4 linked regions of the Arabidopsis thaliana genome follow. The protein of the gene in region 4 interacts with the protein of the main gene of each other region in a pairwise test. Each region holds a gene or a part of one and is shown on either strand. Other genes may lie near its edges. The genes, in order: TH7, AT1G11940, CaS and PERK15.

The links.
Region 1: the proteins of PERK15 (region 4) and TH7 interact in a protein complementation assay, tested with the Arabidopsis thaliana proteins (one large-scale study listed by BioGRID).
Region 2: the proteins of PERK15 (region 4) and AT1G11940 interact in a protein complementation assay, tested with the Arabidopsis thaliana proteins (one large-scale study listed by BioGRID).
Region 3: the proteins of PERK15 (region 4) and CaS interact in a protein complementation assay, tested with the Arabidopsis thaliana proteins (one large-scale study listed by BioGRID).

The regions. Positions count from the first base shown.
Region 1 is NC_003070.9:21,952,040-21,955,311, forward strand, and holds TH7 (thioredoxin H-type 7), read right to left. Parts: upstream 1,442-3,272; 5' UTR 1,354-1,441; coding exon 1,219-1,353; intron 1,056-1,218; coding exon 933-1,055; intron 852-932; coding exon 720-851; 3' UTR 558-719; downstream 1-557. Other genes in the region: AT1G59725 (DNAJ heat shock family protein), read left to right, coding at 1-171. UniProt on the Arabidopsis thaliana protein: Probable thiol-disulfide oxidoreductase that may be involved in the redox regulation of a number of cytosolic enzymes.
Region 2 is NC_003070.9:4,031,019-4,036,087, reverse strand, and holds AT1G11940 (Core-2/I-branching beta-1,6-N-acetylglucosaminyltransferase family protein), read left to right. Parts: upstream 1-1,932; 5' UTR 1,933-2,141; coding exon 2,142-2,429; intron 2,430-2,511; coding exon 2,512-2,628; intron 2,629-2,703; coding exon 2,704-2,804; intron 2,805-2,928; coding exon 2,929-3,000; intron 3,001-3,130; coding exon 3,131-3,212; intron 3,213-3,359; coding exon 3,360-3,440; intron 3,441-3,540; coding exon 3,541-3,582; coding exon of another isoform or gene 3,583-3,618; exon of another isoform or gene 3,619-3,773; coding exon 3,774-3,830; intron 3,831-3,921; coding exon 3,922-4,068; intron 4,069-4,155; coding exon 4,156-4,320; 3' UTR 4,321-4,554; downstream 4,555-5,069. Other genes in the region: AT1G11950 (Transcription factor jumonji (jmjC) domain-containing protein), read left to right, coding at 1-284, 365-646, 722-794, 877-962, 1,043-1,162, 1,267-1,341.
Region 3 is NC_003076.8:7,735,954-7,740,349, forward strand, and holds CaS (calcium sensing receptor), read right to left. Parts: upstream 2,583-4,396; 5' UTR 2,460-2,582; coding exon 2,244-2,459; intron 2,162-2,243; coding exon 1,916-2,161; intron 1,817-1,915; coding exon 1,624-1,816; intron 1,474-1,623; coding exon 1,332-1,473; intron 1,253-1,331; coding exon 1,121-1,252; coding exon of another isoform or gene 1,117-1,120; exon of another isoform or gene 1,042-1,116; coding exon 807-1,041; 3' UTR 565-806; downstream 1-564. UniProt on the Arabidopsis thaliana protein: Modulates cytoplasmic Ca(2+) concentration and is crucial for proper stomatal regulation in response to elevated levels of external Ca(2+).
Region 4 is NC_003070.9:19,469,290-19,474,520, forward strand, and holds PERK15 (Protein kinase superfamily protein), read right to left. Parts: upstream 3,294-5,231; 5' UTR 3,074-3,293; coding exon 2,737-3,073; intron 2,660-2,736; coding exon 2,309-2,659; intron 2,224-2,308; coding exon 2,137-2,223; intron 2,055-2,136; coding exon 1,984-2,054; intron 1,907-1,983; coding exon 1,830-1,906; intron 1,741-1,829; coding exon 1,590-1,740; coding exon of another isoform or gene 1,525-1,589; coding exon 1,363-1,524; intron 1,256-1,362; coding exon 962-1,255; 3' UTR 531-961; downstream 1-530. Other genes in the region: RABG3d (RAB GTPase homolog G3D), read right to left, coding at 1-17, 108-160.

The sequences.
Region 1 (3,272 bases), 2.5 Mb from region 4:
TTGGATATCGTTAAACCGGGTCAGGAGATAGTGATTCCTAGTGAAGGAATGCCCATCTCTAAAGAAGGTTCAAAGAGAGGAGATCTAAGAATCAACTTTGAGATATGTTTCCCCTCGAGGCTAACATCGGAACAGAAGACAGATCTCAAGAGAGTTCTTGGTGGTAGCTGAATTGGCAACTAGTTTCAAGAAAGCTCTTGAATTCAAAAGGTCAATTCAGTGTACATACATATACAGAATTGATCGGTTTTCGTTTTTGATCTCATATCTTGATCACGAAATAGTAAGCAGAATTGATTGTTTTTTGTTGTAAAAGCTATCTTTGTTGTTATCTAATTTATTCTGCTTTCATAAGTTATATATGTAACTCTCAACTTCATACAAGCTCTTCGAAAATGTTATGTAACGTTTGTTTTTTTCCATTTAGTATTTTAACATATACTTGGAATGGGACTCTTTTTTTTTTTTTTTTATGGTATAGTTCTTTTAGTCGCCATACTCACATTACCATTGTTATGTTGTTTTGCTTACGTTGGGGTGATTAGATTTCATACAAATATAACTACAACATTTTTGTTAATTGTTTTCATTTTTGACATTATTATTTATATTGTTTTGAGAAATTAAACAACAAACCAGAAACCCAACTTCAAACAATCAATTCAGAACAGACATTCAAAAGTATAATAATCATTTTTTTGTAAGGGAAAAGAAAAAACTTAAACCCTATGTTGTTCAATCTTCTTCACGAGCTCATCAGGTTTGGCTCCAACAACCCTATCAATCTCTTCTCCTCTCTTCACAAAAACAAAAGCTGGAAGTGTAATAGCTCTATATGTCCCAGCCACATCCTGGAATACATACCAATTATAGCTTAGTCTTGAAACCATAAGATGATTCTTCTTCAAGTAATAAAAAAAAAGAGTAATTACCATTAGCCTATCCACATCAACCCTAGCAAACACAGCTTCTGAGTACTTTGAAGCAATCTCCCTAACTCTAGGTTCCATTGCTTTACAAGGTCCACACCATACAGCTGTGAAATCAATTACTAGCTTCAAAACCACAATAATTTTTTCAGTTAGTTTAAGAGAAAAAACATGTCATTTACTTGTAAACAAAATTAGAAAACACAAATAGTATAAGATTTAAAACAAACATTATAAGTTTGGTTAAAAAAATTTAATACGTTTTAGGTAGTTTTCGAGTAATGTATACCAATTTGTTTGAGCCTTTCATGGAATCAAAGAGAGATTTCCATTGTCTTCTTGATTCGATTTCCACAACAAATCCATTACTGGTAATTTCCATTGATGAATGAACATCATGCACAGATGAAACATTGGAACCCATTATCTTCGGAATGTGTATGTATGAAGAAATGGTGTTCACTTATTTGCTAGTGATATACTGATATGCAAAGAAGAGAGACAAGGAGGAGCATTATATAGCTTTTAATCGGAGAACTTAATTTGTTGGTTATAAATAAATAAGTAAATGCAAAGGAATATGATTCAATTTGCTATCCTTCTTTAGTTCTAGCCGTTGATTTTTTTATTTTTTCAAGAATATATAGCTTATACCAATTTAGTTTCGCTTTGTGTTTTTAAAATTCCAGTTAGTTGTTAAATATTCTCCACTACATAAAAATATAGCTGGTTGCAAGGAACTAGCTTGCCTATCACATTTGCAAACGAATTTTTTATTTTTGTGGGTGGATAACAATCCGCGGCGGATCGATTTTCTAATTAAAAAATGGTAGCCTAGGTACTTGATTTATTAGTTTAGATTAATTAGTTATTGTCAACGCTATAAATTAAAAGTAGTTAAAATTTGTTTTGTTTAAATAATATATGCACCATCCACTTCAAGGATCTAATACCTATATAATATTAATGCTATTAATTACTATAAAAATAAAAATGTCACATGGCAGGAGAGTTTCTAATGAGAACTCATTTTTATTTTTTTCCTAATTGATGGTGATACTCTTATGTCTTTACTGAAATCTTTAATTTACATTTACATAAAACTTTACAGAACGAAATTAGATTAGAATAAAACGAGAAAAAAATTTGCAAAATGACCATGCATGTCATTGTAAATTTGTAATGTTGTTTGGTGTGTCCGTGTGTAAGAATATTGATTTGTGTTAAAAAGAAGCTGTCATCAAATTCTTCCTCAAGGTCCTTCTTATTCCATTTCAGTACTTATAGGAATCATTGTCGAAAATGAGTTTGAAATTAACAATTTATTCGATACTGGGGGACAAGAAATGCACGTCGTAGCCACGAACATCATCTTTAACTTTTTGCCCATAAACTTTCACATCATCCTCTTATAATTCTCATTCTCAAGGAACTAGGAATGCTGATTCAAAAATACAGTTCGGTGATGCTCGAATATCTTAAATTTTAGAACATATTGTTGGGGTTTAAGATCTCGATTTGCAAATATTAATTTGAAACCATTTTTTGGTCTGATTTCTAATAAAATTGAAACACCACTGTTTTATAAGAACTAAAAAAAACTTGTAGAAATGTTGCATCAAAGTATGCTTTATAAAACATTAAATATATATATGTTGGGATCAAAATATGCATATATATATATTATATATATATATATATGAAGGCGTTATCAAAGAAATACAACAAGTTTTTTAGAAAACTGAAAACATTAAGGAATACTTCTTAAATTTGTAAGTACCCTTCCTAAGACTTTCTTTCCCTTACTTTTACTGTATTTGGAATTTTGGAATTGTGTAGTTTAAGACTTAAAAGAATTCTCAAATATTTATTGTACTGGTAATTCATAAAGTAAACTAATCACGTTTAGATATTTAAACATGTGTAGAAAATCGTTTTTAATTTAGATTTTGCCTTTGAATTTATTCATTTTTTAATCATAATTTATCGATAATATTACACATGACTTTCTTAAAGGTTGCATGAGTTCTGCTACCCACATATTTCTTTATTCCTAGCTCGATCTATAAAGATTCTAATATAAGTTTTTCCACAATCTAAAGAATTTTATTCCATGAAATCGTATCCATACAATTTTATATTGTTGATTTTCTCTCTTTTTAATTTATGTAGGAAGAGTAACACAATTAGTTCAATACCTCTGTATTTACTTTTCTGCTACTAAGCAATATATTACAGTTACTTATAAAATAGTTCTGTATAATAGTTCAATAAAGTTAGTTATATTTTTGCAAACAGAAAGTGTGAAAAAGATACAAGAGCAGAAGAAACGATTCTTAAATA
Region 2 (5,069 bases), about 15 Mb from region 4:
GAACATATGAAAACTTCTGGCCTGAGATGCTGAAGCTGAAGGATTGGCCTCCTTCAGACAAGTTTGAAAACCTTTTACCTCGTCACTGCGATGAGTTCATTTCCGCATTACCATTTCAAGAATACAGCGATCCTAGATCAGGAATTCTCAACATTGCTACAAAACTTCCTGAAGGACTTCTTAAACCAGATCTTGGTCCAAAAACTTATGTTGCATATGGGACTTCAGATGAGCTCGGTAGAGGAGATTCAGTCACTAAGCTTCACTGTGATATGTCAGATGCTGTAAGTTTCAGAATTGTTACTTAGTACTGTTAAATAATAATACGGTTTCTCAGGTGTATAACGGTTTTTTGTTTTTGTAGGTTAATATTCTGATGCATACTGCTGAAGTAACACTAAGTGAGGAGCAAAGGTCTGCAATTGCAGATTTGAAACAGAAACATAAGCAACAGAATGAGAAAGAGCTTCAGGAGCAAAATGGTTTAGAGGAAGAAGAGGTTGTGAGTGATGAGATTGTGGTTTATGATGAAACAAGTGGTGCACTTTGGGACATCTTTAAAAGAGAAGATGTTCCTAAGCTTGAAGAGTATCTAAGGAAGCATTGCATAGAATTCAGACATACTTATTGCTCTCGTGTTACAAAGGTAAGAAATAATCCACAAAACGTTTTCAGTTCCGAGTCTTAGAGGTTATTGTGCTGATAGGATTCTTTATGTTAGGTGTATCATCCAATACATGATCAGTCATATTTCTTAACCGTGGAGCATAAAAGAAAACTCAAGGCAGAATTTGGTATGGTTACTTGTAACTGTAGTAACTGTCACTTACCGACATTGTATTCTTACGTTTTTGTGTTTGTTTGTTTGAACTAAAGGGATTGAGCCATGGACATTTGTGCAAAAGCTAGGAGAAGCAGTGTTTATTCCAGCAGGTTGTCCTCATCAAGTTCGGAATCTCAAGGTTATTATTTGAATGGAAGCTGTCCTATTAACTAAACTTTTTCTCATTATCTTTAACTTGTATTATGGATTTTGATACAGTCGTGCACAAAGGTAGCTGTTGATTTTGTTTCCCCTGAAAACATCGATGAGTGTCTCCGTTTGACTGATGAGTTTCGACAACTCCCTAAGAACCATAAAGCCAGAGAAGACAAACTTGAGGTGATTCTTTTTCTGATATTTTCAATTTTGGATTAGCAACTTCTGTCAATGGATACAGTTTTGTTTGTAGTTGAATCTTGTTTTAATCTTTGCCATGTGAACAGATAAAAAAGATGGTGATCTATGCAGTTGAACAAGCTCTGAAAGAAGTGGAGACATTATTGCTAGATCGCAGCTAAAAGCTCTATAGCTTTGTTGTTGTAGGATTAACAGCAGATTTTGTAGAATTGTTAAAGCCATGGCTATTGTAGTTGGCTTTTGCTGTGATATATGTATGTAAAAGAGACAAGTGTCTCTTGAAAAGAATGATTTCCTTTTTTTCAAATGGGATTTTGATGTAACTTTTCCTTTTCCGGTCTGTTTTGGCATATGAATGAATATTTGATGTAAGCTTCTTTTGTATAGTTTTGTATCTTTACATCATTTTGAGAGCAAATGAAAGTTTATGATATGAGAGCATCATAGATTCATAGTAGCAAATACAATTGGTTCAGTTGTTGCTTGCAAATTTTTACTGCAGTAAATATGGATTGTTTTGTTTTCAAAGGTTTTAAAATGACTTAATACATTAATTTCCAAAGGTTTTGTTTTAAGGTATTTTTTTTTTTTTTCTAATTGTATAGAAGGAAATACAATAATTAATATTCCTAGTCAAATTGTATAATTTTCATACCATTTTCTGACAATTTCAATTTCGGACAACAATTTAATGATGTTCTAATTTAACGTGGGTCCCAACTAACTTAAAACGTGTACGTGGCTTACGACGTCGTTTACAAGTTTATACGTCGAACTATCAACATCATTCTACCTTTCTTTCTCTCTTTCTCTCAAAATCCAAAATGTTGTAATTTGCAATTCTTCAGTTTCCGTTTCTCTCCTGAGAAATTTATTGACTTCAAAAACCCTAAAAAGACTTGTGATTGTTCGTTTCTCTAACTCGAATGTTGATCGTACGACGGTGAGTGATCGTAGTACAATGACGAAGAAATCACAGCCGCAGATTCCGCCTCCATTGTCCCGTCGCGGCGGCGTCGTGTGGCTGGGATGGAAACTCGTAATCGCTTTCTCCGTCGCGCTTTGCCTTCTTGCTCTTCTTCGAATCCAACTACAGTACAATTCCTTCACGACATTGTCGTTTCCACTCTCCGTCGCGAGATCTCAGACACCGCTTCACAAATACTCCGGTGATCGTCCCAAGCTCGCTTTCCTTTTCTTAGCTCGCCGTGATCTCCCACTTGATTTTATGTGGGATAGATTCTTCAAGGTCAAAAAAGATTCTTAGTCCTATTAATACTTGTCCGTTATTCTAAATTTCGAAAAAATTGCTGATTCTGGTGATTTTGCAGGGAGTGGATCATGCGAATTTCTCAATTTATATACATTCAGTACCTGGTTTCGTGTTCAATGAAGAAACTACACGATCACAGTATTTCTATAATCGCCAATTGAACAATAGCATTAAGGTGAGTGTTCATGAGAATTTCTCCATTTGATGTTTTTTTATAGTGAAACTTAGGGTGGTGTTGTTATGGTTATAGGTAGTATGGGGAGAATCAAGCATGATTGAAGCAGAAAGATTGTTGCTTGCATCTGCTTTAGAGGATCACTCCAATCAAAGATTTGTTCTTCTCTCTGACAGGTTTGCTTCTTTCAGCATTACTCTTTCAGATCATCTTATGCCTGACCACTTATTGCATCTGACTTTGAGCACATTTGTGGTTTGTACGGACTTATTTCATTTTCATCTACTTTCTGTTTTGCAGATGTGCTCCATTATATGACTTTGGCTATATATACAAATATCTTATCTCTTCACCGAGGAGTTTTGTGGATAGGTAGATTGAAAGTCTGAATTTATGAGGTTTCTTAGTACTTCATACTTGATATATATGGCCTGATAACTGGTGTATTATAAGAGGAGTTGTCTAGATGTTGATAACTATGTTTGTTGCTCTCTATTGGCAGTTTTCTTCATACTAAAGAGACACGGTACAGTGTGAAAATGTCTCCTGTCATACCTGAAGAGAAATGGCGAAAAGGATCCCAGGTATCTTCATTTTCTTGCTTAGGAAATGAACATTGCTACCAAGATTTTTGAAGCCTGAGTTTCTTGTGAAAATTTAAGCATTAGGAGGATAGGGACCTTTTAAAGTTCATGAAGTTTTTAATCTCATCTTAGTTTTATCTATTGCAGTGGATAGCTTTGATCAGAAGTCATGCAGAGGTCATTGTAAATGATGGTATCGTATTCCCAGTTTTTAAGGAATTCTGCAAGGTAAAGATTAAGCTTTATGATCATGACTTTAATTTCAATCTTGATTCTTTGTTGCTGAAGAAACAATAACTTACTTCTTGATTTCTCTTTCGATTTGCAGAGATGTCCACCTTTAGGTACCAATGAGGCATGGTTGTTTCTTGTAAGTGCTATTTCAAAGTTGGTATTTTTCATTTAATACCAGCCTGAATGTTTATGTTGATTCTTTGTGTTGGTTTCAAAACAATCTCAACAGTGTCTTTTCTGTAGTCTATGAATACTTCTCTCCATTGATTAACCTCTTTCTTTATTAAACAAATGGGGAAACTTTTATTACGTTTGATGTGAACTCAGAAACAGAAGCGACGCAACTGCATCCCCGATGAACACTATGTGCAAACATTGCTTACGGTGACCATCATATCTGATACACATCTCTCTCATTTTTGTTTCCATCTAAAAAGTTCCATATTGTTAATGTATTACAAACTGACCATTTCAGATGCAAGGACTAGAGAGTGAAATGGAACGAAGAACAGTGACATACACTGTATGGAACGTTTCAGGTACAAAATATGAAGCCAAATCTTGGCATCCCGTCACTTTCACATTGGAAAACTCCGGCCCTGAGGAAATAAAAGAAATAAAGGTACAATCTTTTTGTTCAGAGGATTAATATCACAACCGAATGAATCCCTAAGTAATCTCTCTAGTTCTTTTGCTTTTCTCGGGACAGAAAATAGACCATGTCTATTACGAGTCTGAATCTCGAACGGAATGGTGTAAGGCGGATTCGAAACCCGTCCCATGCTTTCTCTTTGCAAGGAAGTTCACGAATGAAGCTGCTATGCGCATTGTGAGTGAAGGACTAATAGGATCATCAGCAAACAAAACCTTATAACTTTGCAACAGTGTAAGCAAGTAGGTCAAGCAACAGAGCGTATACATAGAGTAGGAATAGCATTGATACATTACAAACATCCCTCATGAGGTTTAATGGTTTATGATTATATATGACGCTTAGTAAAAACTAATAATCATTCTTCATGGATAATCTTGTGTTTGGGTGTTAAAATTTCTATGTGTATATGTCTGAAGAAACTGGCTTCGATTAATAGAATATGTTAATAGCAAATTCTACTCTGGATTGATGTCTTTTACTCATTCTCCTGGAAATTGTTAAAAAAAAACTAAAATTTTCAAGGACTCGAACACACAATAATGAAGTACATAAACACTTAACCAAAACAAACTTTTTAAACAAGTGACCTTACATTTTTCTTTATAGTTGGTAGCGTAAAGCACATGTTTTGGTTGCTTTATGGGCGGACTGGGCCTAGTTCGTCGGAATTCTAAGCTTCTTTTGCAAATCTGATGATTCCATAGAAATGAGTCAAACGACGAGCCGTTGGACGGTAGTTGAGCTCAATTGGGCCACATTTTTTGAAAAAATTTGTTCACTAAAATTAGCTTAAAAAAAACATTTTTTTAATTGGGCTACAACAATGCAATTATTCCAAATCCATAGTATTGGCATTGTCATTTTTATAAAAATCTCTCTGAATCTTTTAAGTTCAAAAATCTTAACCATTAAAAAAATTCCCAACCGACTCGAGCTAAGCCTAGCAATCATAAAAAAAGGAAAACTTC
Region 3 (4,396 bases), on a different chromosome or scaffold from region 4:
ATTATGTAGTGGTACTGATCTCTTACACCTTTTTTTTTTGCTTTCTCTTTTCGACTTTTGATCATCATCTTATTTGGTTTATGTCTTTTATTTATTGATTTCAGTCTATATACACTATCAATTTAGATTGTATGGATCAGTAGAGCAATATATGTTAGTCTATATAAATTTTATTTAATTTGGTGTAGAATCCGTTAGCAAAATAGACAATTTTGTTACAATTCGGAGTGACCGGTGTTACAATTAATATTAATTAGACAACATTTTGATTAAAAATAGTTTGTATATACTTCAACTATTGCACAATATTTATAATAGTTTTCAAAATTTATATCTTGGTTTTCACATGATTGAAAGCACTAAACTAAACTCCACAAAAAAAAAAACTTGTCTAATTTTTATTATCTTCAACCATTTGTAAAATGGATTTTCGGCAAAAAGCTATTGGCAATCCCACTAAGTGATAAGGCTAGGCCACACACACACACCTACCAGATGGTCCAAAATGATTGTGCATCTATGTGATATTACAATTAGTTGTCCATAACTCATTATGAATTTAGTCTTTATCCCAATTTTTTCCTACCACTATAGGCCAAACTCATCCCGGTTTTTGATCATACATTTTTTCTTTTAGATGATTAGCTACTACTTCAGTTTGATGTAATCTTTTCCATATATGATCATCAATGTAAAAGACAAGTAAGTAAGTAATTCGAAAATCTTATCTTATCAAAAGATCTCTCAAAGTTGAGAAATAAAGGAATACTAAACAACACTTGTAAAACTATATATATCCTCTGTTTTCAGTCGGAGCTAGGAAGGAACTTGGTTCCGGACCTAGTGCCAAAGCTTCTCGAAGCTGCCGGGATAATCCGCGATGGAGACAAGACTTGTGCAAACGAGAAGTTGTAAGAATCAGTGCCTAAACGGCTCTGCAACCATCCTCTGCCACCAGAGAATCCATCTGTCACAATATAGCAATTCTTGTACCCGAGAACCTTTAACGTTTTCGCCACTATCTTAGCCGAATCCGTGTACCTACGAGCCAAAAAGACCAATAAAGATTAAGCAAGATTCACAAAAAAGGTCTTGTAAAAGAGTAATAATCAAAACTCACGAGTCCAAGATGATGATATTGGAGCCTTTGTTGATTTTCTTGAGGTAAGAAATCTTTAATGCTGCTATCTCTGCTTCAACTCGTTTAGAGTTCCTCACGATTCCTTTTACTTTGTTTGGTAGTTCTTCTAATCTGATAATCACAAGAACAGGTTCAATGTTTTGAGTATAATAATAATGAAAAGAATTATCAAAGTTAGATAGACACATACGGAATGGAGATCACGCGGTTCTTAGCATTCGAAGGGAGCCGTGGAATCCCGGCTTTCTCCTTGTCTTTCTCTGATCTTATATCCACCATCAAGTAGTTCTTGGTGCAAAGAAGGTCAAGCGTTTGAGCCGGCGTAAGATCACCTTTATTAAAAAAACACAAACCAGAAACACAGAGTAATTGTCAGCATTTTGCTATGGTGAATTAGACTCTAGATACAAAATAGATCACTAATAACCAAATCAAAAACTTATATATGTTCTCAAGATGATCTATATGGAGTCTTGAGGTACCTTTGTAACCACGGAAGTTAAAAGAGATGGCAGAGAAAACAGGAGGGAGAAGAAGGTAAGCAAGAAACGCAGCACCAGCAGCAACAACAATGACACTAGGGTCAGCTGAAGAAATCGTATCCATGGTCGATGAAGCAATCGGTTTAGCATCTTCTATCGCTTTTGACGTCTGTTGTGCTACATCTGTTACTGTCTACATCCCAACCAAAACACAGACAAACCACTTCAAACCCTAAACCCCAAAACCTAAATTGTTATGTTCTCATACATATTTGAATGTAAGAAATCTGACCTTTGCAGCATTAAAGACAGGCTCAGAATCAAAACCAGAGCTCTGCATTGCTTCTTGAGCTTTCTTTGAAGCTTCAGAGAAAGCAGGAGAAGCAAGCTTCATAGCTTCTTCACCAGCTTGCTTTGCAATGGGTAAAGCAGTGTCCAAAGCTGGTTTAAGAGCATCTCCTACTACTTGGAACACACGCTGCGTTGCATCAAATACACTAGAACCAGTTTCTTGAACTTGGTTGATTGTTTTCTCCACCTGTTAAGACACAAGAACACTCATCAACAAAAAGGAGACATTTTGGTCATTTCAAGAAGTAAAGTGAGATTATTATATATACTTCAGTGAGAGAGGAGACGATTTGGTCCTTGGGAATGGAAACAGCAGCTTTAGCTTCATGAGGAGGAGATGCAAAGAGAGATAACAGAGAGATTGAAGTTGATGTTGGAAGTGAAACAGAGACTTGTCTCAGACTCAGTGTCTTCTTAGTAGAAGAAGAAGGAAGAGTGAGTTTTGCAGATAGTGAAGACTTCGTTGCCATTTCCGCCATAGCCATGGTTTCTCTCTGCCACACTTTTTTACAAATCAATGCGACAGAGAAAGAGACAAAGAATCTTTAGAGCTTCTCTTCAATGTTGTCTGCAAACTGTTTCTTCAAGTACCTTTTTCTAAAGATTATAAATAAATTGAGTTTTCTGGTTAAGATTGAAGGAAGGGGATTTGAAAGATGGATTCTTATTGGTCAGACTAATCCTACGTGGCATTTTTGTGTTAAAGCTTAGCCGTTCGTTGCCAATCCAATACTTTGATATATGTCGTACAAGAATTTCATTGTAGCAGTAATATCAGAGGTGTACTACAGAATAAGAGCAACAAAAAATGAATACTGTACATTGAAACATGCTTATGGTTGTACACGAAGTAGCTATCTGTTTTAGCCGCCTCTTCTAACAATGAGTTCCATCAGTTCGATTGGTAATCAAAGAAGCGGTTCAACCTCCGCTCCAAGCGCCTCAAATTGTGTTACCAATCAAAGCCAATAAACATCATCTTGTATGAACCAAGACCGAAAACTGCTATTAAACTTCATTCCGTACAAAACCAAGTATCTTAAATTGGACTGATGTTGGTTTAGGTTCCGTTCTTGTGGTTCCTGTTTACTCTCCTAAAAATTTGAACAGATTTGAGCATGCTGATCAAGTGAAGTAAACTACCTACACTTGGTCAACCGTCTACTAGTAAAATTATAGACTCACTTTATTAACTTTCCCATGATTGAAGGAAGACGAGCAAACACACATGATCACTAGTTCCATAGCATTTACAAGTATATAATTCCACAAAATGTATAGTAGTACCATTACTAGACCTTAAAACAAGCAAGCTCACCATTTAAACTATGCTATTAAGTTCATGTTTGTTAAAGCATCAGCCTAGAGAGTGGTATCATATTATTAGTAGTGCTACCATCATCACAAATTCTATATAAGAACATTGTAGAGAAACAGTATTTTCTCATATTTTAACAGCCCCTCTTGTGTGAGGAATATAAGAAAGATAACAAGTCTTGATCTTGAAAAAGAACAAGATTCTCCTTTTCTTACCTAATTTGAAAATGGAATCATGATACCATTTGAAGTTTTGCTCCAAGGAATTTTAAAACCCACGAGCTAAGGAATCCTTTCACTTCACAAGATTCCCTCACCTTTTCTCTGTGCTGCCAAAGGTGAGGGAAAAAAAGAGAGGACACAGGAAGACCAATGACTTATAACAAAAGTGTCTTTTACAACAAGAAAGTTTAAGGAGTGAATTTGATTCTTCTTGAACAGCCAGTTTCATAAATAGTAATACGAAAAGAACAAGAAGTATAGCATGGCTCTCTAGAAGGTTATTAATCAGTGAATATCACCACTTGGATCCTGATTAAAGGGTTATCATCACGCACTCATTGCGCAATGTATCAAAGTTTTTGATTGTATTATACTATTCTACGTGGATTCCTTATCACTTGCCAAGAATGAACATAGTAATGCAAAAGCAAAGGTTTTAGAATTATGCAATGTCTATGTAGGTAATACTTAAAAGAGCCAGAGAAGTAAGCAAAAGCACACATTGCATCAAGAAACCAAGAGATCACAGCAAATTTCATATCAGGAACTCATAACAACATAGCCATGCTCAGGAACAAAATTAGCGTTGAGGGTCTGTAGTGACAAAAGACATAGCCAGGAAAAAAACCGATCTACTAATCTGCAAAGCTGAAGAAGTACAAGTTGGATTCAGTGGCTCAACAAACAAAAACAAAAATGCTAGATGAAGAAAGACCATATGGAACACAAACCTTGATACATACATGTAAACCAAAAGTAAAACTGCATCATCAGAATTCAGGACCATTGTTAAAAAACAGATCAATAAAAAAAAAAAGTTAAGACAAAACTGAAGTTGTAAGATTTAAGAATATGAGTCAATTATGAAGACATGACTACAAAC
Region 4 (5,231 bases):
ACGAAGTCTTCCCAACACTGGCCATAAAAAAAGAATCAAAATCTCATCATTCAATGAACAAATAAAACCACATCAAATCTGAAATCTGAAGAGATGAGAGAATTTACCCGCTATCACCGAGAATGATAACCTTGAGAAGAACTCTCCGGCGAGAAGACATTGACGGAAACTTTTAGGGATTTAGCTGATTTGGTTTTTCTTTTCAGCGAAGAAACTGTCTCTGTTTTCTTCTTTCACAATCTCTCTCTTTTGGTTCTTCTTCTTCGTGTGATTTACAGAAAAAGTATATACTGTATTAGCTAAATAACAGCAAAGTTACTATTTTAAAATCTTTTATTTTCCCAAAATTGCCCCTCCTTTAATTAGTCATTAACTAATCTTATTATAAACAATTTAAAAAATTAATTAATTATACTTGAAGAAATCTTCAAACGGTCTAATTATGTTTACTTTATCAAATGTTTTGTTAATTACCATTGACTTATGTACTAACTATACTAATAATTACTCCTTCAACCAAAAATCAAACACCATGCTTATAAAAATATTATTTCTCTGAATCTAAAATCGGTTAATATATATATGGGATTTCATTTGCAAAAAAAAAAACAATTTCTTCAAAGTTGCATGGATAACAAAAGAAAACATGCTTTAAAAAAAGAATCAAAGATGTTAAAAATAACTTTCCACTCAAATAATATATCACGGCCAAAAAATAATTAAGAATCATAAAGTCTTTGATTGAATCTAATTTAATATCTTCACACCAAACTCAAAAAAATCTCCAACAAATAATATTCACGTGCAATATCAGGCTCATGACAGTTTCGATTAGAGCCACACATGGAAATAATTAAAAGTGAAAGCGCGTCTAATGAATAATGTGTTTTACACCTAAACCTACGGGTCCTACCCCAAAATGATAAGACTTAACTATTACCAAGAATCCTCTGTTTAAAGTTCATGTGTCCTTGGTATTCTTCTCCGGTTCGATCTCCTGCGTTGTACGTTGGCCTTCGGTGATACTAGACGAGCCTGATGGGTTCTGACCATTGTCGCTAGTCAAACCACTGCATTCGCTGCTACCAAATGTTTTGCTTTCGAACGCCATTTTCTTGAATTTCTTCAAGTCTTCTTTGTATTGTGTTGAGCTATAATCTGAGCTCCCGTCTAAGCTGTAAATAGTACTTTGTCCTGGGGCAGCTCCTTCTGTTAGGTCATCTATAGATATATTTCCTTCGAATGCTCGAACTATCTGCAATTGTCCAAAGAACAATGACACCATTGAACTCACAAAGTTTCATTTTTTATCCTAGTGTTAGATTGAATGTTGCCAAAAGGTTTTGATGTGATAGTTAGTACCTGGCTCATTTTTGGGCGACGTTTAGCTGAATGACGGACACTAGCAGCAGCGCAAGCAACCATTCTCGTCATTTCGTTGATATCAAAATCATTCTCTAACCGCGGGTCAACAAGACCGTCAAAGTTTCCATCGTTTAACGCTTGTATCATCAGAGGTTTTGCCTAGAGCATGAGGTAAAGTTTAAAAGCTTATTAAAAGTGGTGGTAAGGGAAACAAGATAACCAACCCAATCAACGATGCTATCATCATCAGCAAAAGGCTGTGATTTATCAACAGGACGGCGTCCGGTTATCAGTTCAAGAAGCACCACTCCAATTGAGAAGACATCTGATTTCTCAGTAAGTTTCCCTGAAGAAGCATATTCAGGAGCCAAGTAACTGCATCACAAGAAAGAAGTTTAAAAGATTGTTAGTATGTTATGAACTTATTATGGTTATGGTTGCGTATAGAAAAGAGTGTTTCGTACCCGAAGGTTCCCATAATCCGAGTGGAGACATGAGTATCAGTGTCTAAAGAAGACCTGGCAAGTCCAAAATCTGCTAACTGATGAACCAAGTTCAGCATTATTAGTAGTGCAGTCTAAACAACATTTTTATATAGTTTTACAAGTTCAAGAATACCTTCGCCTCATAGCTATCGTCAATTAGAATATTTGCAGCCTTGACATCGCGGTGTATTGTCTTAGGATTACCTGAAACAAAACAAAATCTCCTTGACAAAAACTTCAGAAACTAATGTTGTACAATACTCAAAGACAAGAACATTATACTCACAATCTTCATGTAAGTATGCCAATCCTTTAGCTGCACCCAAAGCAATCTTCATCCTCTTTGACCACTCCATTACCGGTCTCTCTTTCTCTACAAAACAACCACCATAATTCAAACAAAACTGCGGGAATTCACGCAAGCATAACTGAAAACAAGTCTTTTAAAAAAAACTCACCGTGTAAATGAAATTCGAGAGTCTTATTAGGCACAAACTCATAAACAAGCAATCTTTGAGCACCAGTGATACAATAACCAAGAAGAGAAACAAGATGCCTATGATGAACTCTACTAATAGTCTGTATCTCAGCTTGAAACTCTCGTTCACCTTGTCCACTTCCAGATTTAAGCTGCTTAATAGCAACCAAAGTTCCATCAACAAGAACTCCTCTATGAACATAACCAAACCCACCTTGTCCAAGAAGGTTAGTGTTGGAGAAGTTACTAGTTGCTTTAGACAAATCTTCATATGTAAACAAGTTTTGTCCAATCTCTGATGAACTCCATTGCTGAAGATTATTGCTATCATCTACAAAAACAGAGGAATTGAATAATCATTAAAAAAAGATTGAGTCTTTGGAAATAAAGAAACCCTAAATAAAGTACCTTTGGGATCTAGTGAGTCTCTGTTAATAGAAGCTTCGATATCTTCTTTCTTCTTCTTCTTTAACTTCCTCTTCTTTCTTTTATAGAAACAGACAAAGATACAAACTCCGAGTAGGACAAACGTAGCTCCGAGAACTACTCCAGTAATAAGTCCAGTTAATGCTACATTTCTCGAGCCTCCATCAATGTTTGTTGTTGTCTCCGGAAACGGAGCCAACGAAGAAGGTCCGATGATGGATGGCTGAGACGGAGCTGGTGACGTCGCCGTGTCTGGTGTGGTGGAAGGAAACTCCGGCGCCGGTGGAGATGAGAGGGAAGGGATAGTGTCGGTAGACATTAGATCAGAAGATGATGAGGATGATTTGGTTTTTCAGGCGTGTGTGCAGGTTTTTCTCATGGCGGAAGTGAAGACGAAGACGAAGACGAAGAAGACGAAGACGAAGGAGAATGAAGAAAGGGACATGCGGTGGGTCCCGTCCCACTTGAGAGATTTGTTCTTCTGGCAAGTGTCTCTTTAATTCTCTCGTCACTCTGTTTCTCAGTTAGTCAGTTAACACTTACCAACCATCAAAAGAAGAACTAATAAAGAGCCAAATTCATCTTATGTTTTTTATTTAAAAATATAATCATTAAGTCAACATTTTTAAAATAATAAAATTTACTAATGATTTTTAGAATCTTTAAGAAAAATTTACCATATAAGTCAACTTTTTTGCTTTTTTTTTTTAAAAAAAAAATTTTAAAATTTTTATACACAATTTTTTATATGATTTTGGATGACTCGATACAATATGTCAAATTAGAACTTATTTTATACGGACTAAACTAGCCTATATTTTCAAGTTTGACTAATTTTAGAGAAAAACTAGTCCAGCCAAAAAAAATTAGTCTAGTAAATATTCAATTCGATCGGATTTTTTTGCAAAAAATAAAAAAATAAAAAATCGATGGAATCAAATTCCGACTTTCTAATCCACAGTAAAATTGTTTCGGAAAAATCCGATTTCATGAAAATAATTTTTAGATCTAATTTTTATGGTGTTTTTATAACTAAAATTTTTTTAAAACTATAAATCAAATTTATTTTGTAAAATTAATATTATAATGTATATAGTAAAATTATCTAATCAAATTTATACTTACTACTGTATAAAAACAAGCACGACTACATAAGTATATTCACATTGTCTTGTCTGCCATTAATTTTTTTGTCTTTAAAAGTAAAAAAGAATCAAAGGGACCAACAAAAGATATGAAAAAACATACTAGTACTACTATTTACCGTGATCTTTGGTTTGTGGATTGTATCTCTCCCTAAGGTACCCATCAAGTTGAGAATTATTGAATTCTTTGAACAACTAATTCCACATCATTTTCCAAGTATTGTATCTTGGTATATGCATTCTCCTTCTATTTTTTGTTTGCTCAATAAATTGTACGCGGTGAAGCCAGCCAGATACCCGGTTTATTAACCAATCCTATGCTTCCGGAGTTTTTTTTATGTTAATCATTTACATAATAAAAAGAAAAACAATTAATGTGGTAGGGTACGGACGACAAGTAGGTAATCAATGGAAGCAATTATCAGGAACCATATATATTTGACAGAAGAAATATAATAACCGAAAACAATTACGTTTTCACAAGGAAAAACACAAAACGAAATCTCATCCAACAATGTTTTCAAGACAAAATCTGTGAATCAAGGATTACTAATAATGGAAATCCATTGCTTTGTTATGCATCAAAAAAATTTATATAGATTTGGCAATGCAATCTCAAGATCATTTTAATGATAAGGTTAATTGGGAAAAATAATCGTATTTGTCTTTGGTACGAATAGAAACCAAAACAACTTCGAATTAAACCATATCAAATTTCAAGTCACAGCTCAATAGTAAATTGCAAAACAGCAAACAACACGAACCATTTTGTGATAACCAAGAGTCAACAAAGAAATGCATTTTTTTTTTTCTTGGGTTTCACACAATGGTTGTTTTTGTTGGTTCTTTATAGGTTGAGTTATGCAAAATAATTTTTGTTACGTTCAAAACGAGGAAGAAAAAAAAAATTAGGTGTGGTGTGGTTCAAAGAATTGTCATCCAGTGTTAAAAAAACATTTTTTACATAAGTTTTTGTAGAATATTTGAGAAATTTCATTTTTAGAATATCCATTTTCAAAACTACTCTTACCTTTTATACATTATTCTACTTCGCTTGTTCAAAACTAATCACACCCTATTATTTAATCCGCTTATTCTACAATTCGCTTCGCTATCACTAGATCAAATGTATTTTAGGTTTTAAAGAAAATAAATGTTTTCGATGTTTTGTAACGATCACTTAGGTTCAACCAAATACATACCACATTTTTAATTGGTCACAAAGATACATATTATAGAACTCTTAGCATATTATCCTTGATTAAGCAAATTGCATGAAAAACATTGTTGGTGTCCATGGAAATTCATAAAATCAAAGCATTCATGCAGACT